Astyanax mexicanus: one gene and its partners. The protein of the gene in region 4 interacts with the protein of the main gene of each other region in a pairwise test. Links are inferred from orthologs where the notes say so. Each region holds a gene or a part of one and is shown on either strand. Other genes may lie near its edges. The genes, in order: tuft1a, nebulette-like, cass4 and zyx.

What was found.
Region 1: the proteins of zyx (region 4) and tuft1a interact in binary tests that used the Homo sapiens proteins (3 or more experiments, as listed by UniProt). The link is inferred for Astyanax mexicanus from reciprocal best matches to the Homo sapiens genes ZYX and TUFT1.
Region 2: the proteins of zyx (region 4) and nebulette-like interact in a two-hybrid assay, tested with the Homo sapiens proteins (2 studies listed by BioGRID and IntAct). The link is inferred for Astyanax mexicanus from reciprocal best matches to the Homo sapiens genes ZYX and NEBL.
Region 3: the proteins of zyx (region 4) and cass4 interact in binary tests that used the Homo sapiens proteins (3 or more experiments, as listed by UniProt). The link is inferred for Astyanax mexicanus from reciprocal best matches to the Homo sapiens genes ZYX and CASS4.

The regions. Positions count from the first base shown.
Region 1 is NC_064413.1:2,086,219-2,093,198, reverse strand, and holds the start of tuft1a (tuftelin 1a), read left to right. Parts: upstream 1-3,961; 5' UTR 3,962-3,980; coding exon 3,981-4,067; intron 4,068-6,980. UniProt on the Homo sapiens protein: Involved in the structural organization of the epidermis. Involved in the mineralization and structural organization of enamel.
Region 2 is NC_064408.1:108,678,826-108,685,752, forward strand, and holds the start of nebulette-like, read right to left. Parts: upstream 3,006-6,927; coding exon 2,931-3,005; intron 1,897-2,930; coding exon 1,789-1,896; intron 788-1,788; coding exon 707-787; intron 1-706. UniProt on the Homo sapiens protein: Binds to actin and plays an important role in the assembly of the Z-disk. May functionally link sarcomeric actin to the desmin intermediate filaments in the heart muscle sarcomeres.
Region 3 is NC_064431.1:32,798,684-32,805,987, reverse strand, and holds the start of cass4 (cas scaffolding protein family member 4), read right to left. Parts: upstream 3,019-7,304; 5' UTR 2,791-3,018; coding exon 2,785-2,790; intron 1-2,784. UniProt on the Homo sapiens protein: Docking protein that plays a role in tyrosine kinase-based signaling related to cell adhesion and cell spreading. Regulates PTK2/FAK1 activity, focal adhesion integrity, and cell spreading.
Region 4 is NC_064413.1:39,113,500-39,120,979, forward strand, and holds the start of zyx (zyxin), read left to right. Parts: upstream 1-4,474; 5' UTR 4,475-4,765; intron 4,766-6,142; exon of another isoform or gene 6,143-6,475; intron 6,476-7,480. UniProt on the Homo sapiens protein: Adhesion plaque protein. Binds alpha-actinin and the CRP protein. Important for targeting TES and ENA/VASP family members to focal adhesions and for the formation of actin-rich structures.

The DNA of each region.
Region 1 (6,980 bases), about 37 Mb from region 4:
AACAAAATGTTTGACCCAATGTTTTAATATAAAAGTAAGCTTTTTAAACAAAAGGAGCAAAATTATTTAATGATATGCCAAAATGTAGTCATATTGTTAACAACAGGTGCTTCTTGATTAAAATCTTTTTAACTGTATCTGGTGGATTTATGTCATGTAAAATGCATTAGTCACTTAGTATTTGTTTAATCCAGGATTCAGGATAGTTGAAAATATGAGTAGTAGCTTATTTTAAATACAACCTAAATGTTTAAGTTAAAAAAATTAAAAATAAGACATGGTAAGGAGCCTAAATGCCTGCATGCAAGTACTTGCGCAGCACTGAACTGGAGCTTTGTCAGCTAATCCCTCACAAAAAGTGCCTGTTGTGTTTAGCATAGCAGGTTCCTGGCAGTGTTTCTCACGACTACTGGGAAGGCTTGTTTGGTTATAGAGGATGGATGGTTCGCTCCCATAAAAACACACTTGCCATCTTTGTTCAACCTGCTGCGTCAGGGCTGTTTACTTTTACATTTGACCTTTTAGCTGACCATCTATCTCTGCTTGCTCATCTTCCCTACAGCTTCCTCTTTAGCTCACAGTAGAGGAGTGAGAGTGGGATAAATGCTTTAAAGAGCAGTTGGAAATTAATAGATGATGGCTTCTTGGTGCATATCAAAAATTTATTAGCATTTTTCTTGTGTATGTAACAATAATCTTGCTGTTTACATTTTCAGAAATCTGGGATTTAGCCTGATCTATGTCTAAACACAATTAAAGAACAAAACTTAACCTCAGTGTAAGAAACAGCACAATTCATTTACTTTTTTGTCAAATTTAGTGGACAGTAAGATAGGCAGGTCTGTCTAATACAAAGGCTCTTTTTGTATCTATTTTAACTTGGATAAATCATTTGAATAAGACCTGTTTGCCGTATGTTAATGTTTAATTTTAATGCTTGATGGCTTTGAAGGCACTGCCCATGAGCAAATTCCATCATCTGTGTGTTTCACTAGGCAAATACATCTGTAACACGCATGCTATGAGAGCAATGTCAGCTGGTTTGTTTTCACCTCTAGGTGCTAAATATCAGTAATTAACAGCAGCATTAGTGGAATGTTCTGATGTATAATGTTGTTTTCTCCCCTGAGGTGCACATCATTCATTTACAGCAACTTAAAAAGATCTACTGTGAATGATTGTGTTAATGATTTTTAATAGATATATAATAATTTTAAATAATTGTATTTATAAGTGCGAACACTTCATTTAATAATGTAAAGCATCTTGTTGATCAGGTTTAAGTCATTTTAAATATTCATAAACACTGTAATTAAATAAACAGTTAATAGTTAAAGTGAAATAATTTGTTAACATAGTTAATATTGGTTAAACTTGTTTAACATCACATATTTAACATAAGCAAATAATATATTAGATGATGCTTTGTTAGTAGGTTATAAGTATAAAGTATATAGTATAAGGTTTTTGTACGGTCATGAAAACAGCAAATTCCAGGCCTGGATAAGTTTTGGAAAAGTCATGGAAATTTGCTCTACAAATCTCAGTGTTTCCGTTTAAGAAAAGCTATTTTGGTGTTAAAAATAATTGAATGTTTAGGCAAATCCGTTGTGTCTTGTCTGCACTGATTTTTTAAAGACTGTACGTCATGAAAATTTGCTGCGAAGGTTTCGGAAAAGTCATGGAAATGTATTAGTTGAAAAGTGTATGAACCCTGTATAAGGTGCTACCCCCTAAGTATGATAGATAAAATTCTTTATTGTCACATGTAAATAGAATATTCTATCGAAATTTTTAAATATCCACAATAAAACTGTCTTATTCACATAATAAAACATACTGTCTTATTCATGTCAATTGGCTCTCCTTTCTAAGTAAATATAATTGGGCAGTATTGAGGTCAGCAGAAATACTGAAGTCATGCCCATATATTGTGTGATAAGTTGATAATGCATTTATTATGACAGGGCTAGATATAAGTGACCTCTGCTCTGAATGGGCCACCCTGAATTATGCCTCATTTAAAAAGCTGGCCAGACTGAAATGCTCTGTAAAGCTTTGGCATAAATGGATGAGGATAAACTGATGTAGGCTTATTTGCTGCTACATGTAGTTTTTGTGACATTTACATTTACGATACTTAGCAGACGCCCTTATCCAGAGCGACTTACAACAGTGCTTCAAAGTTACTTCAGATATCCAAAGCTAGTTTTTAGACTAGGATCAAGATACACATAGAACTTAATCATGTTTAGAACCCTAGGAACTTTTTTTTTTTTTTTTTTTTTTTGACATCACAAAAATATATAATTTAAAGAGGTCTGTTTTGATGCCTCAGTAACTTCATATATGAACCGTGTGGATTATCTATTAGGGTAGTGCACACTGAAAACGGTTGAGAACGTTTTGTCTGCATCATGGTCTTGGGTTACCTGTGTAGTTCTCACCTGATCTTTACGTGTCACTGAGAAAGAATGTCAGTGTGTGTGTGTGTGTGAGAGAGAGGGAGAGATTAGTTGGGCCTCAGTCTGAGCGCCAATAAAAGGTCCGGGAGCTGATATCCGATTACACATTCCACTCTTGGCTCTCTCATGTGTTCTTTTTCTTGTTCTTTCGTCTCCTCCGGCACCTTTTTCCTGGACATTGTTTTGCTGTAGATTAAAGTGCTGTTTTGGCCAGAACTCACATTTACACAGTTTCCCCCATTTAGCACAAATGGTAATGGATCAGCTATGACGTGTTTGGTGACTCTGTTTTGTAGCTCCAGTGCAAAACTAAGGAGGGAATCTTTTAAAGCTGTGTAAATTTGATCTTTTGCTGAACTAAAACTTTAAGTATATGCATTTACAAACACTGCTTTGTAACATGAGAAGACAGGAAGGAAGAGGGAGCGTGAGAAATAAATTAGAAATAGATGTCTCTGTACATATGATTTGATTTACCATTCAAAGCAGATATGACGGGTTTGGTCATATGATTAGTTTTTCTATCCTGGTAGATTTTGTTCTTTCTGTTTCTCTGATTTAACTACTACTTTTTTGCCGTTTTTGCAAAAGAAAAATTCACACTTCTTCTTTCCTATTATATATCTACTAGAGACTATAGATTATATATGTCCAGTATAATTTATTTTACTTTATTCCTGGATATATGGAGATATTTCGAGAGCATTATTAGTATCATGACATTCTAGATCATTGACTTCTGTTACAAATCTGATAAAATTCTTGTATTTATTTTAATATCTCAAATTTTATTTTCATTTTGTTGCAGTGGTGTATTCTTGAGATTTTTTTTTTAGTTCAGAGTTTTGTCATATCGCCAAGAGTATCGTTATATCGAAAATACCATGAAATATTGTGATATTATTTTAGGCCAATATTGCCCACCCCTACTGTCAACTTATTCGAAGTGCCTACCTTGTATTTTCACTAACTGGCCACTTTATTAGAAACCCCTACCTTTTTCTTTCACTCACTGGCCACTTTATTAGAAACCCATACCTTGTATTTTCACTCATTGGCCACCTTAATAGAACCCCCCTTCTATGTTCTTCCACTCTTTGTCCACTTTATTAGAAACACTTACCTCAAGCTTCTACTCTTTTGCCACTTTATTAGAACCTAATCTATTATAGCTCCCCAGTATACATATATAGTTGCAGACTGTTTATCTGTATCTTCACTGTTTGAAAGGTCAGTGCATTTATATAGCTGTGAGGGGCTTATATGATGCTACTAGGTATGAATAGAGCTGTATTGCTGTAAGCAAAATCCACACTGATACCCTGTGAATAGAGTTCATAATCCTCTACTGTTTCTGGCGAGAAAATCTGTGTGCGTGTGTGCATACCATACGTGCAATTATGCCTTTGTTGCTGTCCTGGACTGAGGTGTGGTGTTCAATTTGGCAGGGCGCTTGTTTAAATGCTGCTTTGCCTTCTATGGAAACACGGACGCACACACTCTCATACACAGGCTATGACTAGCTCCAAAGTTCAGTTTCAGCAGTCCTCCTCTCTCCTGACAGTGAGACGAGCGGACCTGAAGACTGGTTCATTTGCTCTGGTAAATAAAACTTTCATTTATTTTACTGGACAGGATAAAGTGTCTGGTTTTGGTCATTTAAGTCTGTCTAGTGGCTTTAGTGTCGACATATTTCCACAGATAAAGCTGTTAGCTAAGATTGCATGGGTGTGTGATGTCTCGTTGCCAGATTTGTTTTGTCTGTGGTCATCCCTGTGGGATTTTGTAGTATTACAGGTAATCTGGTAAACATTGCATTATAGCCAAATCACTTTAATCCAGTGTAATGACACAGAACACAGCAATGTGCTGCGGTGTATCGTGCATCACTGCTATTATCTCAGCTACTTGATGTATTGGTGCACAGACTCTGTTTGTGGTCTATGTTCAGAGTTGTGTGTGCATTGCACAAAGCCTGTGTTTACCCAACAGCGAACGTCACTCACTGATAAGCAGATGCAGCGCAGCTTAAACCCATACTCCAGTCAAAGGATTATATTTGTCTAAAAGCCCCCTAATAGAACTTTAGTGGATCTTCTTACTTGGCGTACCTCATCTACCATTCGCCCTCAGAGAAACTGAAATGTGTTGGATTCTATTTTTTTGTCTTTTCGACTATAATAACATCAAATTAGGGTATTTGCGTTCATCTGAGAGCTATTTTTAAATGCATTTTTAGCTATAGTATGAACAGCTGCTTTTTAATAACCCTATTAACCTTGTCATGCATTCAGACTCATTGTTTTCACTTTGCTTGGTTTTTCATGTAGTTATTGAAACACACTAATTTAAGTTTGAGATTCAGAGAGAAAAATTACTTAAAACCTGCCCATGTTTGGATCAGGAACTGGAATTTTAGCTTTTTGTGCGTTACTGTGATTTTTCTTACTATATAAAAGCTGTCATTATTGTTGAATGCAATGTAGAGAAGGACCAATCACTGTTCTTGATGTCTTATAGTGATTTACATATGATCAGTATTTTCTTCTAATGCATTGTTAATGTCTAATGTGATTTCTGCTTATTAGTACTGCCGTATCTTTTCAGGATGACAATAAAAGGTAAATGACTATGGATGAAGAGCTTATAGCTTATAGTCTTACAGTTGTTGCTTATCGCTCTGTATACCTATAACTTTAACTTTTAAGTATTCAAATGAGTTATCACTGCAGGGTGTGAGTGTCCTTTGAAATGCGCACACACTCGTTATGCAACAGAGGGGCTGTGCAGAGAGTGTTTGTCTATCAGAGTCAGTTAAACACACACAAGTCACTTACAATTTCAACAGTGTTCTTCACTGGAAGGGTGCGTGTGCAGTGACATTTCCCATGTATTGAACTGTCAGGACAGTCTGAGGTGAAGGTCAGGGGGAAAGTATGTGTGGAATGTCTTGTCTTAACTCTCTCTCTCTCTCTCTCTGTCTTTCCTCATTCCCTGCGTTAATATTAACATATTGACTTGAAGCTTAAAATGCAGTGTGAAAGTGTGCAGGTGCATGTGTATATAGATAAAAGTCAATAACGTGTGTGTTATATAACCAGCTTACTGCCTTCTGCTGAGTAAATACCTCTTTGTGACTCTGTGGGTGTGTGCATGTGTGTGAGTTTAAGCGTGTAATTAGGGTTTTTTTTTTTATGTGATTCGCACAGCATTCTTTTGGGAACCTCCTCTTCATCAACACTGTCAGACTGTTGTAAGATTTTGTGGATTTGTAGTACAGTTTTTGTGTATAGTACACTACAGATATGTGTCCACATGCCTTTAGCATTAATGATTACATATAGATTACAAATAACAAAATAGTTTGTGATTATTCGGAATAAAACCATTTAGCTAAGACTTCAACAGTGCATTGTATAAACTTCAAACAGCTTATCCACTGCTGCACTCCCGGTTTATGGTGGGCAGGTCTCCTTGACTTTTTATTTTACATAAGATTATTTTGGTGGGGGTTACATTTTTTAAAATACTTATTGCACTAAACAGCCAATGGAAAAAAGTGACTTTAAGTGATGAAACCGAAGCTATACATTATATTTGTAATGAGAAAATAATTTCTAATGCTGATTCACCATCAGCATCACCATCCGCTCTCTGCTCTCATCACTTTCATTGAGACGCCGGCATCTGTTGGCTGATGTATCAAAGCTGGGCATCTGGTGCTTTCCTATAAGTGCATTGGCTGCCTAGTAATATTGCATTGGTGGCAGTTTGAAAAGAGGTGGGAGGCTTGTGCTCACCTGTGTAGTAACATTGTGTAAACATTGTACATAATACAGGGTGTCTGCGAATGCTTAAATCATCTTACAAGGTCTTATGTTCATTTATCTCAAAAGGCTTAATTTAAACAGAACCGACTGCATTATTTATGGCTCATGGCTGTACTTAAGGCCTGGAAAAGTGTAAATTTAAACAGAAACAGTTAAATATCCCAGTTTTGCACTGGACCCTGCTTTCTCAAAAAGTACAGAAAGTTCCATTATCATTTACACAAAGCTTTTTTTGTGAAATCTCAAAATACAATTTATTGTTAAAGTGGACTTAATTTTGTGTCTGTGGGATATTTAAAAGTCTTTTCTCGAATAACTGCAGATACCCTCATAAGACACAACAGTAATTTAGGAACTGTATTTGATGTTCTGCATCAGATCTGCATGTTTAGATTATCTGCATCTTCCTTCTGCATTCCTTTTAGAGCAGAAGGCTGTTTATTTATGCGCGTTGTCATGGTGATGTTCCACGTCGCCCCAAAGAGTACTTCCCTGTTTGGACTCTGTGCCACAATTCAAATGTACATTCAAACCAGTGCTCTGGCCGCCGGAGGAGTTGTGGTATTTTCCAGAAGCTGCAGACTGGAAACACAATGTTCTGTATCTTAGAGACGGGATTGCATTTCCCCTGCTTTTTTTCCTCTCACTTTCAAATTGAGTAAGCACTGACGTTCAGCACAAACTT
Region 2 (6,927 bases), on a different chromosome or scaffold from region 4:
ATTCCAGACCCATAAATCCTGGCATTGCCATCTTGGAATATTCCCGTGTCATCAGGGAAGAAAAAAAAATCAATTGATGGAATAACCTGGTCTACATTCAGTATATTCAGGTAGTCAGCTGACCTCATTCTTTCAGCACATACTGTTGCTGAACCTAGACCTGCAGACCAACTGCAGCATCAACCCCACATCATTTACTTACTTAAATCCAGGTGGAGACTTTTTTTGTCCAGGTAGTGTATTTTTACAGTTGGCAATTGTGTTAGAGTACTTTTAGACCTGGAATAATTATTTTATTTCAATAATATGTGAGTAAAGTGTAAATTTTCCAAAACTGTCTCATGGACTGCAGAAAACATTTTAACTTATAACCAGATTTAGGTGAGTTTAATCAAGCCTTTTAACTCCAAAATACTACTTTATTTTTTATTTTTTTGAAATATGTTAAAACACATTGGTTTAGCAATACATTTAGCATTTGTTTTAGATTGTCTAGTGTATCTGGAAGTGGACATACTGGTTGACTTGCCCAGTTAGGTAATTTTAAGCATACAGTAATAAGTATTATAGAACATTCAAAAACTTAAATATAATCACCATTAATACAATCATCATAAGTATAATCATCATAATCACTGAATATAAAAATTATATTTCCTCATACAGTGTTTTATAGTAAGATTAAGTGACTTATCATTTCAGTCACCTCTCTGGCAAACTGCATCTCTCTGGTCTCTGGCAGAGCGGAGTAAAGACAACTGGATAAATCCTTCTTCCCTTCTTTATACTGGAGCCAGAGGATTAGAATAATGAGGAGGAGAAATTTACATAATTATTTATTTAATTATTAATTTAAACTTTTAATTACAAACAAACAGAAGAGTAGCAATAGTGTAGTGTGTGTGTGTTACCTCACTCTGAAGAGTGTATTCTCTTGTGAAAAGGAAGTATACTTAAGAATTTACTTAAAAAAGTATGTTCAAATTAATTAGGTAAAGAATACTAAAAGTACACTTTCTAGTTTATATACGTTATAAAATACCCATTAAATATACTTTATCTGTATTTCCATAGAATGTATTTTTAAGCAATATGCTTTAAATGGAACATTGTATTGATAGAAAATATAAAGAGTGGCATTAATTACTGCTTTAAGTGCAATTTAGCGTATTTTTTCCCAGTAACATTAAGGTGTACACAATATGTGCATCCATATGCAAAGTAGTACATTCACAATAAATTTCAAGTGTATTAAAAAATGTGTTTAAAAAAGACATACTAAAATCTACTAAGTTTGCAGACGTACTGAAAAGCCCAAACAAATGTTTCAATGTTGTAATAAAATATAGCTTAATTACAATTAAAATATACTTCAGTTGTCATAAATTATTATAAAATAGAACAGTTAGTATGTTTTTAAGTATGTTTTAATTTTAATGTTAAAAGTATGTACTTTTCCATGTTAAGTATACTATTAACAAATATACTAAAATGCACTTTTCTTTTACAAGGGTACTCCTTTTTTCCTGCTGTCCAGTTTGTTCATTTTCACTCCTAAACACATCACACACAAAAATACTTGACGTATTAAAACAGCAACCCAGGAAAGTCTGTTCTCTACAGTGAAACATAATCATGTTAAATGAAGCTGTTTTAATGTTAGGCTTTTTAAACTCAGGACGCCACAGACAATTAATTAGAAATGCTTTAAAATGTATTGTTTGGGAGGACACACATTCAGAAGAACCTAAATGTAGCAGTGTGCTGCACCTCACTGTGTGGCTGTACCTTATATTCCGCAGGCTGTGTAATCTCAGCAGTGTTCTGAGTCTCTGCAGTATCTTGTAAGATGGGTCTATTAGAGTCTGGTAAAAGCTCTTTCATTTCCTCTTTCTCCTTGTAATAAATAAACAATTATACAATTCACACAGTATTTAATATTTAGAATTTTCATCATCAAATCACTGTTAACATACATGACTGTTAAAGACAACCTGAAGTAATGGAGGTCAGAGATAACTGAGTTTTGAAGTAGACCATAAGTAATACTGTTTTATACTCTACAGTAGGGGTGGGCGATATGACCATAAAATAATATTGTGATATTTAATGGTATTTTCACAATAACAATACTCTTGGTGATATGACAAAACACTAAATTGAAAAAAATATTTCAAGAATACACTACTGCAATAAGGAACAACACAAAAATTTTATTAGATTTGTAACCGAAGTCAACCGACTGCACTTCAAATATCTCCATATATCCAGTTTTTTTGCTAAAAAACAGTAAAAAAAAGTAGTACCCTGATGTAATAATTAGGGGTGGGTGATATAGCACAATATTTCAGATATCATTGTGTATGATATCATTGTGTATGATACAATATGGCACACTCCTACATTACAGGAAATGTTAAAAACGCTTTTTTACAAACTGGATACTATAGTAACCATTTTTGCCATTTTTTTCCAAGGAGCATTTAAATTAGTTTTAGGCACTTTCTTACTGGGTACTATCACTTTAATTTTCTTTTCAGTAGGGATGTATGATACTGAAAAACAGACACTGCAATATTTGTTCTGTGACATATTTTGTGATATTAAAAATGTCATAGAGAATGATGCTATAAAAATATCATGCAGGCCTATGTTTCAGTACTATATATATATATATATACTCTTTACGCTTAGAAAAATACTACACTGTAAAATTCCACAATTTCCAAAAGCTTTTCTTGCTGATGTTTGATGTCATTAAAACTATGCTCAATCAGCTTAATGAAAATAGTCACTATAACTAGTCACTTCACTACCACGTGTTAACCTTTACAAGAGTAAACATCATTCTAGATCTACTGATTCAGGTTTAGAAATATGTTTGTTGCTCACAATCATTAGAAAAGACAAATGAAAGAGAAATCTCTCACCTCCACAAGTGCACAAGCATCACTGGTATCATCTTTATCTGTCTTGTCAGCATCTTTAGCATCAGCGGTAGACATTTCCAGAGTGCAAATAAAACTAAGACACAATGAATCTGATTAAAGTTCTGCTAAGATCTGTATGATGCTAAACCTAATTTCTGTTCTGGTCTGAGGAGGCTTTTTGTCTGTGTCTCTGGATGAGGAGCTTCTTATCAAATCTGAGCCTCTCGGTTTAGAAAGCACTTTAGTGTTATCATGGCAGAGCCATTAAAAGACCTCCTGCTATTGATAATGCTGTCAGTCTGAGGAATGTTCCAGTTCTATTCTGTCCGACACGGTAATATCTACATGTTAAAGCACAGTTCTGCTGAAAATCAGCATAGTCAGCATAGTTTGTTTGATCTGATGGTTAAACTATTTTAACTGATTGGGTTAGACACCCAGTATGACAAAGCCAGCAGATCAGCATGATTAGCATGACTTAATCAATGGCAACCTACACTATTCTGGTCAAGAGCTGGTAAATCAGCTGGCTTACCAGTATTGGGTCTGTTTTTGCCTCAATGATCAGCTTTTACACCACCTTAATCAACAAAGACCAGCAGAGACCACCTGAAACAAATGTCTAGTAAAAGCTGAATAAATTAGCATTACAGTTATTAGATAAATGCTCTAAACACAGATAGGGCCTTTGCTTTTTTACTTAATTGAATGTTTGTCAGACTTGTCAGCTATGTGACAGCTGTGAGCAGAAGCGTTACCTGGGATGTAAAGATTTGGGACTCCGCCCAGCAAACGATTAGATTTTTACAGTTTTTTAAAGTTTCCTGTATAATATGTAGTTTTTACTTTTTAAATGTAATTGATTTAAAGGTTTACTGGAATTCAGCATTGATGACCTTTCATTATGAGCAACGCCCAGAGATATTATCACAGTGATTCTATATCAACAAAGCATTTTATTTAACAATGCCATTTATTCCAATTTTACAGTATATTAATAATAAAAAAAAAGAAACACTGAAGCTATAGTAACTCTCTTAGTGAGTTGCACAAAAGCACAGGAGTGGCATAATTTTTGTCTACTATGTGTTTCAGCTCGTTTTGAACAAGTGATGCCTTAGCTTAGCTTAGCTAACAATTGTACAAGCTAAAATAAATAAAATATATTTTTCTATTCATTTTCAGATAGAAGACTGAGGTTGACTTTAGTGGAGAATACTCACTAAAGAATGTGTTGTGCGTTGGTTTGACCACCAGAGGGCTCTCCTGAGTGAGTCCAAAATAAATGGGTTCCTATGGAGCAAGTAAACAAAATGAGAGTTTATAAATGTTTCATTAGTTTTATACTGGGAATTGAGCTATATGCTCAACACTAAATAATGTAAAGATGTTTCACTTTTGCTGAGATCATTTTTAAGCTTTTAAAATCCAGTTATAAACTTTTAAACTTGGCTGTGGCTTTGGCTTTAACTCTAGCATAATCTTACTAACCAATCAGCTCACAGTAGCAGAAATGCTACTAAAGTACTATGAGCTGGTCCGAATCCCGGTCATGCAGCTGCCAAAGCTCTGAAGGGGCACAATTGGCTTAGCTCTCTCTGGGTGGGTAGATGGTGCTTTTTCCCATCATCACTCCAAAAGGTGATGTTGATCAGCACAAGGCGTCTGTGAGCTGCTGTATCGCTGCACTTTCCTCCGAGCGTGCTGTCTACTTGGCAATGCTACATCAGCAGCAGTTCAAATAAATATAATATATATATATAATTTTTATTTTTATGTTAATTGCAGTGTAATAATTTTTTAAACATTGGTAAGTTTTATATAACTTTTTTATTTCACAAATCCCTCCTAAGCAGTAAAAATAACTCATAACATGATTTTTTTTATTATTATTATTTTGTTTAATGCAGTAGGCGAGGCTACTAAGGTGCTGTTTTTCACTATAGATAAATGTCAATTCTGTTGGATAACAGGCCTAAATCTGTATTACATGCAAGAATACAAATAAAGAAGAAAACATAAATTGTCCATTTCAATGGACGCAGGGTCTGAAAGGGTTAAGAATGTCTTTAGGCTTTGTCGGGCCAGCAGAGGGCGCTGCTGAGTGAGTCAAAAATGAATGGGTTCATATGGAGCAAGTGAGCAAATCCAGAGTTTATAAATGTTAGATTATTTTTATACTGAATAAATAATTAATGCGAATTATCTAAACATCAATCAGGAACAAATGTGGGTTAGAAAGCTTTAAAAAGAGCTTAAAAGCTTTTAAACTCAGTTATAAAAGTTTTAAACTCTCTAGCTTTTACTCACCAACCAATCAGCCCTCGGTAGCAGTAATGCTAGCGGATCTGTTGTCCACAAAATCGTTTTCTGCAGAAAAATATAAACATACGGTAAGTTTTCTATGTTTTTAAGCAATATACTCTATTCTAATTTCTAAAAGTAAAGGAATATCCCGGACACGTGTTTAAATACTATTCTTAATTAGAGTTTTTAGCCGTTTAGCTCCGTTCACTCTTATTCATTGTGGACTCCCTCGCGGGCTCCCTCTAGCGGTGTGCAGTCACTCGGCTCTCCATAATAATCCAGCACTGATCTCACCGCATGTTTAGTGGCTAAACAGCCTTAAAATAACAAACGTTTTTTTTAAGCAAGTAAACAAACCAATAATCAACCCAGACTTTCTCACTTTTAGCTGAAGTGTTTTAACATTGTGTAGAAAATAAATTCCTTAGTGTTCTGCCAGTGAGACAAGACCAACCTCCCAGCATGCATTGCGGTGCAAAAGTGTGACAAATATCTCAAATTTTGCCGGTATTTGACACTGTGCGCAGTTTATTTTATATGTATACGCATTGACATATAATATATATAATGTAATAAAGATGAATATAAAACATTTATATTTAGTCACCATCCTCGAGTTATTCATCTTATCTCCGCGGTTTAAAAAGGCTCAGGCGCACATTTCATGTCGGCTGGTCCGAAGGCACTGGATATTACAAGATTGCTACAGTCAGTTTCAGAATCCTTGTTTCTTCTCTCCCCTCTCCCAATGCCGTCCTTGACTAGCCTTTTGCTGGCCAGCACTTAACGTACCGATGTTAATGCACGTGTGAAAGGGCTCTACTGCCTGCAGGTTACCCCCATATCCATATACACATTCTTATATTCATGAATGTGTGTCTACACTGGCTCATTTAATACAGTATGTTGTATTTATAGTGTTTTATGACATACTGAAATTCTACACACTGCAAGCATGTGGTTGATGTTATGGTGTCAATGCACAAAAGCCAATAACCTACCATATTTATTTGACCCTAATGATTTGTTGTTTATACTGTAAGCTGTTTAATCAATTAATGTAATTTGTTTCTTCTATACAGTTTTTACTGTTTTTAGTTTTTAGGATAAAGAAAAGTTCAAAACGGGCACCACATGACCCGTTATATAACCAATAAGAAAATAACCCAAATTGAGCCACAAATTAAGGATAGCTAGTATATATCAAATTAAGCATAATGTTCATTTAACAGTACCGTACACAGATTAGCATTTTACCAAAAATAAACATCTCAAACACACTCTTATTAAAAAAATCTAACTCTTATTAAACATATGCCGCATTAAAATCAATGTAAACTCAAAGAGTGAAGAAAAACATTTTTATTACAAAAATACTAGAAAGATCCTAAACAATAAATGTACAAGACAAACAGTAAGAAACACTTTTCCCTTTGTTTTTATGTTGCAAAATAAACTGAATAAGAATTACAGGGAAGGTTTTATGTTCATTATTTTAGAACTGGTTTATTCAGTTGACAAATCGTTTATTTTGCGTTATTCATCACTGACAGCAGATTAAAGGCTCATTTATAAGACTGAAAATTGTGGGGCCAGGGTAGCCAATATTTCAAGCTAAACAGCACATGGACTCAAAAAAAAAGTATGGTGGAACTTTTTTTAGTTTTGTAATAAGTACATTTTCAGAACT
Region 3 (7,304 bases), on a different chromosome or scaffold from region 4:
TGTAGCATGAACTAGCTTGTTTTTGTTTTCCCATTTAGCACAAGCTAAAACTAATGCCACTAAGTAACAGCTTATTTGCATAAAAGTGACAGAGCCCTTAAACAGCACACTCTGAAAGAGACTGAAACTGGTATAAAACAAAACATGTTTTGTATAGAAGACAGACCTACAGTATTCTAACTTGTGTATTCACACAGGTTAAAAATGTTTTTAAAGGGTCTGTTTTAAGACTCTACTTTTAAATCCTCTGCACTTCTGCATTTATTACTTTTGCAACCGATATCACAAAAAAAAAAACTACACAGAGGCCACTTCTGCTTCGAGGAGTCTTAGAATAGCTGTGGTGTTGAGTGTTGAGTTCAGCTGACGACAGTGTAGCAGCGCGGATTCAGGGAGATACGAGGTCTTTCAACACTTTACCCAGAAGCCCGTCTGTACGCTGGTTTACGTCTTTTCTACTCGACTTAATTCCAGGGATTCCTGGAGGAAAGCAACAAGTTAACGACACCAATAAAGTCCCCTTCTCTCTCTCTCTCTCTCTCTCTCTCTCTCTCTCTCTCTCTCTCTCTCTCAGTATCGTATTTCACAGCAGACACTGCAGCTCTAAGCAGGGCTTCAGGGTTGGGGGTGGGGGGGTTGAAAGGAGGTCATGGGGTGCATGAAAAAATAGGATGGTGAGCTGACACCAGCCTTTAGACTGATATCCCAGCAGCTGGAGGTCCACACGCAAAAAAAAAAGAAAAGAAAAAAAGAAAAAGAAAGAAAGTGACCCTCATAAAGAGTGCTGATCACTATTAACTCACTATTAGTTTGGACACGCCTTAAAATTCACTGTTGTATTTTAATTATTTAAAAATGTTCTTCATTGTAGATTAATAATACTAAACTTCTTCAAACTATGAACAAAAATATATAGAATTAAAAAACAAAAATGTGTTAACCCTCCTGTAATTTGATTAATCCTGGTTTATGTTTAATTACAGGTAATAATGCTTCAATTAGGATAATTCACTCGTTTTTCATAAAAAAAAAAATACTAATGTCCAAACTTTTCTTAATGTTTCACTACTTTTGAAACACCAACGTATATAAAATACAGTAGTTTTATTTAATATTAAAAAATAACATTGCAATTTTGTGTTTTAGTTTTAGTTTTAGTTTTTGCAAGGGGTGGTTGCAAAAATGTAAGATGAACCATTTTCATACTGAAAAAAAATCATTTTAACTATTTTTCCTAGATCTATACATTTTAAAACAGGTCAGTTTGACCCAGATCAAAACAGGAGGTAGAATCTCCTGGAGTTCAGGCTTTCAGTTAACAGCTGTGCTGAACTCATCAAGAGTTAATTACTTGAATTTCTTGTCTCTTAATAAAGTGTTTGAGAGCATCAGTTAAAGTAAAGTAGTGAAGAGGTAGAGTTACAGGTATACAGTGAATAGTGAATATTTGAGTAATGTTCGAATCCAGGTTAATATATAAAGTCAATTTTAAGAACTTTGAAAGCATCCTTAAGTGCAGTCACCGCAAAGACCATCAAAAACTTTATAATGAGGAAACTGGCACTCATCAGGACCGCTCCAGGAAAGAATAAAAAACTAAACTCTTCACAGAGTGTTTAACACTTTTAAGTTACTACATGATTCCTTACTAAAGTTTTTCAGCAGTGTTTGATACTGTTACTTTGGTAATTAATGTTAGTTTTAATGATGTTAACTCACGCTTAAACCCTGTAATCCACACACTTCTCTCACACTATACATTAATAACCGATACAGCAGTTTCAGAGGCCCTAAGATAGAGCCCAGAGGGACCCCACACTTCTGGTTAACCAAACACCAAGTTACTAAACTCTGCTGATGCTTCATGTGTTTGTTTGTTTTTTCTGTGTTTATCACTATTAGGGCTGTACGATATTGGAATATTGTTGTGCAATGTATGTATTGTGATATAAAAAAAAATCACAAAACAATAATGACTAAAAATAGTCACTAATCAATAATAATTTATACCAATCACTAGAGTAAAAGTTAATGCAATTGTGCTGATTTAACCATTATTCCAGCATCATCCAAAACAACAACTTTACAGGAGAGACATAAAATCTTAACTAAATAAATGGAATGTGAAAAAATGTATGCCACATAATGTAGAGCGTTTCTATTGGTCAATTTCTCGTAAACTTTTGAGACAATATATAAAGCAAATGCAAGTTAGCAATGTGCGTGTGTGTGTTGATAAAATACTTTATATTTTTATTTTATATTCGGTATGTAAATTATCTGCAGCAAATTATATTTGACTGTTTATATAGATAAAAATATATTAATAATTATACATTCCATTCATAAGCAAAAATCAAAAAGGTGCACACATCTGAAATCAAGCTGAATTAACAAAAATGAAATAACAAAAAAGATGCAGAGCTTCAAAACAAGTTCATATTCATAAAGTTTTAAGAGTTCAGAAATCAATATTTGGTGGAATAATCCTGTTTGGTTTTTAATCACAGTTTTAATTTTATGCATCTTGGCATCATGTTCTCCTCCACCAGTCTTACACACTGCTTTTGGATAACTTTATGCTGCTTTACTCCTGGTGCAAAAATTCAAGCAGTTCAGTTTGGTGGTTTGATGGTTTGTGATCATCCATCTTCCTCTTGATTATATTCCAGAGGTTTTCAATTTGGTAAAATCAAAGAAACTCATCATTTTTAGGTGTTCTCTTATTTTTCAGAGCTGTATGTAGATGATCTGATAGTATTGATAGTATTGATCAGTGCTTACCTCCATCTCCGTCTCCGATCACTGGTCTGCAGTTTAATCCAGTTAAATCTCCATTTAGAGCTGCAGTAGATCTCAGAGCTCTACAGCAGAAACCTTCTTCCTCTCTGATTCTACACCTCTGATCTCTCCTTCACTTTTATATCACTTTTAACACTATTAATCCAACAGTTCACACTCCTCCCTCTCTCTCTCTCTCTCAATCTCTCAATCTCTTCACACACTTTCTACAGCAGTGAGTGAATGAGGGAAGACTCTGCTGGTAGTTCAGTCTGCCTCGGACCCTCAGCCAATCACAGCGCCTGTCCACAGCTGTCCCCGCCCCTCTGTCTTCACCCGCCTCCTCTTTTTCTTCTGAGAAATGCAGCAGTGTTCAGTAGTGGGTGAGTGTGTGCTGCCCACTGATATCACTCTTTCCTTTAATTGTTTCCGGTGTGATGCTACTTCTATTCATTACAGTTAATGCTTTATTTTGCACACACACACACACACACACACACACACATTTAGACACACACACACACATATTTAGACACACACACACACACAGTTAGACACACAATTTTTGGGACAAAAGTAAAAGTAAATAAAAACTAGAGTGGTGTGCGAGTGTGGCTGCAGTGCTGATTTTTGGGGTGTGAAGTGGTTGCTAAGGTATTGCAAGTGTTGCTAGGTGGCTCCTATGGTGTTGCTGTGGTGTCAGTGGTAACTGCTATGGTGGCTGTCAAGGTGTTGCTAGGTGGTTGCTAAGGTGTCGATATGGTGTCTGTGATGGTTGCTTAGATGTTGCTAGGTGGCTGCTGTGTTGTTGCTGTAGTGTATAAGGGGGCTGCTGTGGTGTTAAGGTGCTGCTAGGTGTTCCTGCACCTAGTGCGAGTGTGGCTGCAGTGCCGATTTATGGGGTGCCAGGTGGTTGCTGAGGTATTACGCTATGCTAGGTGGTTGCTAAGGTGTTGCTGTGGTATCAGTGTTGGTTCCTATGGTGTTGTTAAGGTGTTGCTAGATATTGCTAGGTGGCTTCTTTGTTGCTGCTGTAGTGTTTATAGGGGCTGCTGTGGGGTTAAGGTGCTGCTAGGTGTTCCTGCAGAAAATGCGAGTGTGGCTGCTATGGTGTTGTTAAGGTATGTTAGGTGGTTGCTAAGGTGTTGCAGTGGTGGCTGCTATGGCTTTGCTAGGTGGTTGCTAAGGTGTTGCTTGACAGTGGAGTGTAAATATGTTTCTCGTAGCTCTTCTGCTTTCTTTGTTGTTCCATATTATGTCTTTTTTCTATTCTCTCTCCCCTTTTTTGTAGTGAATATAGTGAATAGTATATAGTGAATAGTGTATAGTGAACGGTATATAGTGAACAGTATATAGTGAACGGTATATAGTGAACGGTGTATAGTGAACGGTGTATAGTGAATGGTGTATAGTGAAGAGTATATAGTGAATAGTATATAGTGAGTAGTATATAGTGAATAGTATATAGTGAATAGTATATAGTGAATAGTATATAGTGAATAGTATATAGAGAACAGTATATAGTGAACGGTATATAGAGAACGGTATATAGTGAACGGTATATAGTGAACAGTATATAGAGAACGGTATATAGAGAACGGTATATAGTGAACGGTATATAGAGAACAGTATATAGTGAACAGTATATAGTGAACGGTATATAGAGAACAGTATATAGAGAACGGTATATAGAGAACGGTATATAGTGAACGGTATATAGAGAACAGTATATAGAGAACAGTATATAGTGAACAGTATATAGTGAACGGTATATAGTGAACGGTATATAGAGAACGGTATATAGTGAACGGTATATAGAGAACAGTATATAGTGAACAGTATATAGTGAACGGTATATAGAGAACAGTATATAGAGAACGGTATATAGAGAACGGTATATAGTGAACGGTATATAGAGAACAGTATATAGAGAACGGTATATAGAGAACGGTATATAGTGAACGGTATATAGAGAACAGTATATAGAGAACAGTATATAGTGAACAGTATATAGTGAACGGTATATAGAGAACAGTATATAGTGAACGGTATATAGTGAACGGTATATAGAGAACAGTATATAGTGAACAGTATATAGTGAACAGTATATAGTGAACAGTATATAGTGAACAGTATGTAGTGAACGGTATATAGAGAACAGTATATAGTGAACGGTATATAGAGAACAGTGTATAGTGAACGGTATATAGAGAACAGTATATAGTGAACAGTATATAGTGAACGGTATATAGAGAACGGTATATAGTGAACAGTATATAGTGAACGGTATATAGAGAACAGTATATAGTGAACAGTATATAGTGAACGGTATATAGTGAACGGTATATAGAGAACGGTATATAGTGAACAGTGTATAGTGAACAGTATATAGTGAACAGGCACAGTTTCAGACTCGTCCATTGTGTGTTTGAGTCTATCCCCTCCAGCGTCTGAGCTGATTTATTGTTGACAGCTTATTTTAAAGACCTGGATTCTTCTGAGTTTCTGCTTTGTTGTCTAGACGACACAAAGAGCGGTGGACGGGGACGGGGGGACGGGGGATGGGGTTTATGGTTTGGGGGAAGTTTTGGAGGACAGACTGGAGCAGATCCTGCAGTCGTGGTCTGGTATTCACCAACGAAACCCAGCCAGAAAGAGTTCCCATCAATCTATCAGTGATGCTCCACATCTGCTGCAATCACTCCACAAAGAATTTCACTAAAATACTCTTTAAATTTAATTTATATAAAGAGAAACATAATCAAAGGTGTGAAAAGTATCTAAATTCATTACTCTGTAGGGTGAATAGAGTATAGATACTAGAATTTAATAAAATACTTCTGTAGAATTAAAAAAAGTATCAACTCAAGCTTTTTACTTTTTGAGTAAAAGTTTAAATAAAACTACTTCTACTTCTAAAAACAAACAGCCATGCTACTCCTAGTTCCTAATTCAGATCGTTTTCATTCCGGCTTCTCATCGTTTAATAAACCCCCTATCCAGATAAATCTCTCCATCCAGATAGAGTGAATCTGATTGTGATTGGATGTAGAGAAGTATAAACACATACCATTCTGACTCCCTATTGGTTTATACTGTGATCCATCACACCCGTGGGTGTGGCCTAAGCTTTTAAAGGTTTTAGTCTTGATTACTTTATTTTTTCTCCTTACATTACTTTTACTTTTATACTTTAAGTATAAGGTTTAAATCCAGTACTTTTTAAAACACTTTTACTTAAAAGTAAAAGTTAAAAGCTTGAGTTGATACTTTTTTTAACGTACAAAAGTATTTTATTAAACTCTAGTATCTATACTCTATTCTACCTACAGAGTAATGAATTAATAAAATAATTTCACACATTTTGAATTAATTTGGATTAACATTATCAGTGGAAATCCACATTTCTGTCCTTGTTTTAATATAAGGAATTAAGTGACCAGTCTGGAGATTTTTTGGTTTACTGACGCTCAGACAGCTCTCTCCTGGAATAAAAACATTCACATCTGTTAAACGACACCAAAAGGAATTTCACTCAGGCTGCTGTTTTTTCAATTAAGGTCTGATATAAACTCTGCATATCAGATTCTAACATTTGTTTACTTCTAAAATGACAAAAAATAAGGAAATAAAATAAGAAAGCACTTAAAAATGATGAGTTTCTTTGATTTTATTAAATGTAAAACCTCTGGAATATAATCAAGAGGAAGATGGATGATCACAAACCATCAAACCACCAAACTGAACTGCTTGAATTTTTGCACCAGGAGTAAAGCAGCATAAAGTTATCCAAAAGCAGTGTGTAAGACTGGTGGAGGAGAACATGATGCCAAGATGCATGAAATTAAAACTGTGATTAAAAAACAACCAGGTTTATTCCACCAAATATTGATTATTTCTGAACTCTTAAAACTTTATGAATATGAACTTGTTTTCTTTGCATTATTTGAGGTCTGAAAGTTCTGCATCTTTTTTGTTATTTCAGTCATTTCTCATTTTCTGTAAATAAATGCTCTAAATGAGAATATTTTTATTTGTAATTTGGGAGAAATGTTGTCTGTAGTTTATAGAATAAAACAACAATGTTCATTTTACTCAAACATAAACCTATAAATAGCAAAACCAAAACTTGGACTTTCTAAAACTGATATAAAACAGTGGAATTGCATATAAAGAAAGGGAATCATAGAAATACAACATTATCACAATACATTTCCCACAATAACGACAATATCCCATCATCACTATGCTCGATTTATCGAAATACAGTTCTCTACGATACTTCACAGCATCTACATTATTGAGGAGGGTAAAACACTCCTAAATAATCAAATACCAGCAACTATGGATTTATTAGTATTTATTTATTTAGTAAAGAAGCAGCAACTTAAGTTTTAGTCTAATTGGTTGGAGCTTTAGAGAGTTTATAACGCTAATGTTTTAATAAAAGCATCCATAATTGAAGCCACGTATCACAATGTGATATCACAATATCGATATATTGTCACACCCCTACACATGTC
Region 4 (7,480 bases):
ATCCTGAGTGCCTGCCCATATCTGGCTCCACTGCTTAACATAGATAGCCTTGCTGTCTGTCCACTTCTTTAAAGCCTCATGTCCATCAATCGTTTGCCTTTATCATTTCTGCATATATACTCCCTTTGCGCCTGTCTGTTCTCGTTCCTGAAATTCTGTTCCACAGCCTATAATATGGGAGAGTGGTGTCACATCGTCAGTAGCGTATAACTATAGTCAACAATGCAACATCATTTTGGAATAGCCTGCTACGTCAGTTTAATGATTATTAATTACATTTTCTGATTGCAAAAATAGTAAATGTGATGTAAAAACATTTTTTTTAAATGTAGGTTTGGTTACAAGAAATAAGTTTTCATCCATTTTTCCAATGTAATTTTTTTTCCATCTATGCCCCTCACAATCGGAATTTTAGGTAAAATGAATCTTTTCTTTATTTTCTGATTTTTACATTTTTGCATTTTGCAAGTTGGATTATATCATCAGATTTGTGTTACAAGACATAAAAATGGAATCTGAAAATCGAAAGAAGATTTAACTTTTTGTGTAAGGCAGAAACAAAAAACTAGATAATTGAAATAATTGGATAAAAACACATTTCTTATTCTCTATACTGAATGAAAAAAAAAACAATAATTAAGTTTTATACCTAATTTTCTATTTTCGAATTTAGCTTGATACGGTCAGAAAATTAACCTGCTAAACGTTACACTGACCCTGCTAATACCATTTTATATTATTATTATTATTATTATTATTATTATTATTATTATTATTATTATTATTATTATTTATAGTCAGTGGATATCCTTTATAATGTTGTTTGAAGGCCTAGCGGCATCTAATGGCATGTTAACCCTGTTTAAATATGCTGGTTAGGATTTTGGCCAGATTGAATCTTGTGTAATCTAGTGTTTTGATTATAATTTATAAATAGTCTGTCATTTAGATAGCGTTCCCATTTTGGTAAACTAGCGAAGGAGATAGAGAAAAGCGAGAAGACCTGGCACAAGATTCAATGGCTTGCCCAGGACAGTCGAGAGTGGAAGTTCTTTGTTAGTACCTTATGCTCCAGTCAGAGCAAATATTTTTGATGATTTATGATGATAGGCTATGTGTTATCTGTATTATGTTCTCTGCATTGTTCTTTTATATACTTGATAAAGCCTTCAATGCGCTAAATAATATGTAGGCTTCTTTACTGTTCTGACAGTTGCCACCCACAAACTCTGCCTTTGCCTACCTTCATTCCCACAACTGCTCTTTCTAGTGGTTTCCCTGCTTTAAGCCACCTCGATTTAACTGATAAAGAGTGTGATAATTAGTTTGGGAGGAACATCAGAGCAGCGTAAACACTACAGTATGCAGAACTGCTGCACTCTCTCCAACTGGATTTGATTAGCTGTATTTAAAGCCCTCTCTCAGGGCCTCTTTTGATGAATTGGAGTTCTGTACTGTCATCTAGTGGACGAGCCAAAAAGTGCAAGGCTACACTTAGCACACGATCAGAACTAAATATGGATAGGTGTCCACGGGTATGCGGGTGGGGATCAGACAGAGAGCATAAGGCTTTTCTGAATGCTATTTCAATATGAGTGATTCGGTCCTGACACAGTATGCAGCTCTGTACCAGAGGATTAATTCTCAGAAAATCTAACTAAGCACAAGTGTGTGATTATGCACAACTGTATGATTATGTATATCTCTGTGGGTGAGCACAGCAAGTCAAGTGCAAACACAAGTCAAGAGTTTTTCGAATGCTCTCAGCAGGGGAGGAGAGAGACAGAGAAAACTGAAAAAGAAAAAATATGGATGATTGCAGTCCACTCTCCCCCCTCCGAATGAAGGGGAACAGAATGAGGATGTAGGAATCTAGCTGAGGCATACAGTATGAGCACACACAATGAGTCATGGTGGGTGAGGGTGGAGGGGGAATTGTTCTGAGCTGTGTCTGGCAGTACTCCAAGCTGCACGGACTCTGCTTCCAATGGGCCTCCTGCTGAGAGCTTCACCTTCAGCCAGGCTGCAAAACACTCCAAAATATCTCCCATCTCTTTCCCTGTGCAGACTACAGCCCACGACTGACCAATTACTTTAACAACAGTTTCTGTCCTTCTTTGTCTCAAACTAAATCCTTTGGGCGAAAGAATTGTAGAAATGAGTGTTGTGTAATATTTTCCATAATAATTGATTATATCATTGGGATTTGGTCTGATACTTATATCCAGAGCAACAAAACCGAATTAGAAAGGTCTGAGAGAGTGTGGAAAAGGCTAATAAAATAAATATGCTCTGTCTGCTCAACTTCATTTTACTTGAAACCTAAATAATGATGTTATTTCAAACATATCAGGTCAACAGGCATTTGTAACCATGATTTGGTATAAGAGCAGTATCCAAGGGTAAAGGCTGAGACATTCGGGACTTTCTGCAGCAAAGATCAGCAGAGGATCTCCATGGAAGATGCTTAAAAACAATGTTCCAAGTAAGAATGAAAAATATTTGCAGGTTTCCCTGTCTATTGTGCATAATATCCTTAAAGCCGTTTAGTGCATAAAAATCCTTAAAGCGGAAAGTACAGGGACACAAGCCTAAGCTGAACACCCACAATCTCCAATTCTTTTAGACAGCACTTCATCAAGAAACATCATTCAACAATAGCTAATGATAAAAAACATGGAAAAACTTTGGTAAACCATTGTCATGCACTAAAATAAACAGCTACTTTCACAAACATCACTTAAATTTGTACTGTGCCAAACAGAAGCCTTATGTTAACCATGTCCAAAACAGTGTTAACTTCTCTGAGTGCTGAGGCATCTGGGGTGGATCATCACAAAGTGTAAATGTAGACTGTTCCAGTATTTCAGATATTTTTGGGGGAAATAAATAAATGTGCACAAACCAAAATGGAAAAAAAATAATCAAGGCTGCTATTAGCAACAAGTTCAACAGCCAGAAATGAAGCTTTTACATTTGGGGTTGTGGCAGTACACTTTTGTGGCAGCAGCATTAATGCAGAAAATTTACACTGAGATCTTAGAGCAACCTTCAAAACAACAATCCTTTTAAGGGATGTCCATTCATTGTTTATAAAAGTTAAAGCAAATAAATGAAACACTTTTTAATTTGCATTTTCCATACTGTTTTAAAGTAAGTAAATGGGGCATGAAGAGTCTTGCCTAAAGACATTTATTAGAGTAGTGTGGTGTACTCGTCTAGCCGGGCAATTAATTTCTCATCTGTTGTGTCGTTACCAGCTTTGCTACTACAAAAGCCATTATGTTTCTATAGTATTTTACAACAATATTTATTGTAGTGTTGAAGGCTGTAGAAAACTACAGTACTTGAATCATCTGTAGGATTCCTACAGAAATTCAAAAAGGATCATTACACTTTTCCCTAAGTAAAAGAGTGATCCTTTTTAAACTAAGGCTAAACTGTTATTTTATGCTGGGAGGCCGCCTGTGACCACTCCCTGCTGTTATTTTTCACTTAGGCCTACATGTAAGAAACAAAACAAGTCAAACTGTCTCCTTCCTGACAGGAGGGACTGTTCCACATTAACGGTGCAGGGTCCAGTGCTGTTTTCTGAAAAGGCAGCTTCCACTGCATCAGCCTGGGCAGTGAGCTGTGCAGATGGGATTTGTGGTTGTGAGCTGCACAGGAACAAATGCTAGATATTTTCCAGGCTGCTGTAGACTACAGGGGGAAAAATAATAATGCACCTGAAACATTAATAAGCCTAGTCAGGAAGGATAGACTGTATGTATGTATGTATGTGTGTGAGGGAGAGTGCAGCAGATGTGCAGGATGGGTGGAACTGAGCTCTGACACTGTGGAAGCGATAAAAGGACATTTTTTTAATATGACTCTGGCTCAGATCCGATAGAAAGAAAGCCAAAAAATCTCTGTATCACAGTCTTATTTACAGTACAAATTAAATCTGCACTGCACTGCATTGTTCAGCCTGGTTCAGTGGATGCTTTTCTTTCGGGCCTGCTGTTAACAGGAGAGCTGCTAATATCTTTCGGATGATCTCATGTGTTTCACATTACAGCTGGAGCTGGCTGTGGAAAACCATATGAGCAGTGGAATAAAATGAGGTTCACCATAGCTGCACTAAACTTCTTTTCATTTTAAAGTGTTAGCTTTTTTCTGTTGTTGTTGTTAAGCTGGGCTCTCCTGTGGGTTTGAAGCTGATCTGAGTGCAGTGTTTTCCCTGAGCACCTCATGTCCCTTCACTACCCTTCTCCTGCCAACTGTTCCTCATTTCTATGTCTGTGTCTAATCAACCCCCAACCTCTCTTTATCTTTCCCTCCTCTCTCTCTCTGGCTCTCTCACTCACTCTGCCCTTACAAGGAAAGGCAGGCAGGGTTGATGTCATCGAATGAAGAATGTTTAAAGAATCCTGAGAGGCGAAGAGAGGGAGAAAAAGAGAGACAGAGAGGGGAGGAGAGTGTGTATGTGTGTGTGTGTGTGGAGAGAGAGAGAGAGAGAGAGAGAGAGAGAGAGAGAGAGAGGTGTTTGGCATGTGATAGACCTGACCAGGGTGAAAGGCAAACGAGAAAGAACTTGTTTAGAAGGATGGTGCCATTCTTTTGGGAGACAAATAGGGGGAGGGTCTAACAGGAACAGTTTGTGAGTGAGGGAGAAAGTGTAAAAGAGAGAGAGAGAGACAGGGAGAGAGAGTGGACTTCCAGTAAAAAAGAGAAGTCTGTATCAGTAGAAAAGGAAGATACCAAGACCTCCTTCAGTAAAAAGGTAAGCTGAACCTTCCTTGCAACAGATAAACAAGAATGCCAGCCTCTCTTTAAAAAAAAAAAGCTCCTGATGTCACTTTAGGCCTCTAGGGTTTGATGGAACTCAGCATTAGTTTCAGGGGATTCTGGATACAAAAGCTTTTTTGGAGCATTTCTACTGGTCAATTTACTAATAAACTGATTGTTGAATTAATATAACAAACAACCAGATTTAGATGATGTCAAAAAGTAAAAAAAATGGCAAAAATGAGAACATAAATGTATCATTTTTGAACAACAAAACACAGTTATGCAGTGCCAGTCAAAAGTTTACACACACCTCCTTTCATTAAATGTGTTTTCTGTCTTTTTGTGATGTTTTTTACATTGTAAATTTAATATTGAGGATACTAAAGCTATATATTAACACAGGCAGAATTATTTTGTGAAAACAGAAAGTGTTAAGCAAACCAGAATATGTTTTATTTTTTAGCATTTAGCTTTGGGGACAGATCTGCCCACATTTATAGGTATTTTCTCAGTATCTTTATGAGGCAGAGTCACCTGGTATGGTTTTCTCAGCATTTTGAAGTTCATGGAACTGCCTGTATCACCCTTTTCTTTAAAGTAAAATAAGTATATTACATTCTGAAAACGTTGACTAGAGAACCGTAATAAAATTAAAGTTTTAGAGGGCATTACCTGTTTATAAAATATTAAATTGAAAATGAAATTTAGAAAATGCAAAATTCATGATTAGATTTCTATATTTTTATTATATTTAATATTATTTTATTCCTCATATTTTTACATTTGCAGATTTACTTTTTTCATTTTTAAAATACTTGCTATTTCTATTACGGTACAATTACGATTTTCAGTACAGTTTATTAACAAACATAACACCTCCTCCTCAATATATAAGTGTGTAATATCTGGCAAAAAAATCTAAAACGCCTGCTTGTTAAGGGATTTAAAAAGTAAGTAAAGAAAAACATTAAATGAGAAGATTTGTCCAGACTTTTTACTGATAATGCATGTTACAAATTTGTAGGAAAAATGGCAAGGAAAAAAAAAAACAATAAAAACACAGCTGTAAAAAGTGCACATATTCCAGTTGTATTATTTTTCTCTAAGATGATGAGATAATTACAAATGTATTTTTATTGTATTTTTAAAAAAGCCACAAAAACAAATGCAAAGAAAAATAAATTTTAAAAAGCATATCATTTTTCCAGTTGTATTTCTTTATTTAATGAAATGTCAAGCAATCACAAAAACAATCCACATCAGTACTAAACCGGGGAGTTCTGTATTTCAGTATTTTATCCGAAGTTTTTGCTAAAAGTGCTGAAAATCGATCACATTCACTCCCAGCGCCGGGGAGAAGGCGGAAGCTGGAACCGGAAGTGAGGGTACATTTCTGGGGGAAAACTTCCCACAGCAACATTTCCAGGTGGAGAAAAACCTTCAAACAGCGGCCAAGAGAACACAATGAAGAGAAACGAGCTGGATAAATGACTAATCAGACCCCGGACTGTACTGGTGCGGTGATATCAGGTCACTAAGGGAGGGGTTAGCGCGGCAGACAGGCGTTAAAACCAGGCGAAGGAGCTGAACCTGGTCCCCGTGGTGCTGCTGCTCGACTTTAGACGGTTTACTGATCTAACCTAACCTACCTACTAACTGTGAAACTACTACTGTGATACACTCCGCCGCTGCTCCGATCAGCGTAAGAAACCCTGTTTTCTATAATCTGAGTGAGTGAGTGTGTTTTCTGTTGCAGTGTCCGTATTTACGGGATTTATGTGTGAAAGTGGAGTGCTCCAGTTACCTTACTCATTGGTATTATTATTATTAGCAGCAGTGTGTGTTTGTATTGTTTCTTTTTTTGTTATTGTCTTTCTGTGAGGAGTAGCATGAAAATCGATAGGTTAGATAACTAAGTTTATTCTGTGTATAAATAGGATTGTCATACAGGTATTTGTTTGTGCCATTGTATCCTGTACACTAGTAGCTGTATTAGAGGGGTGGGGCAGAGTCTGTGCTTTCTATCTAGTTAAATAGGTTATTTCCCTAGTTGTTCTCTAAGTATGTCAAGCTAAATGGTTAAATTGTTTACTAAGCAAAGATAACCTACATTAGCTAGTTATTTAGCTAATAAATTAGCACAAATATGACCTGGCTAGCTAGGTAACTAGCTTAGCGACTATACGTGCTGGGGAACCATGGTTCTTCTAATATTATTATTTTTTAGATCTAGCTTACCATATTGCTTAGTATTGTGAACCTACGTTCCCTTGTTTTTATAGCTATATAGCTAAATGTTTTTTTTTTCATCTTATAGCTATTGTTTTAAACTTCTTGACACTGCTGTAACATTACAAATTTCGCCGCTGTGTGATTAATAAAAGCTCGTTTTATCTTATCTTTTCTAAGCTAGGTAACTAGCGTGGCGGCCCCTATTATTAACTTCTCGTAATCAAAATATTTAAAATTTAGCTAAGTCATCTGTGAATAAACTGAAAGGATTTACTCACCCAAATAAACGGGGTTCAGTGTCGATATATATGTATAGTTTAATATACAAGAAAAAATATATGGATATGTTTTCTATAATAAAATTTAAATGCATGCTATGCTAACTTTTCTTATTTTCTCTCAAGCTGTTGTGTTAGCTGGCAGGTAGCCGGTGTAGTTGCTAAGCTAGCTAGCTAGCTTGCTAGAGTTAGCTGTT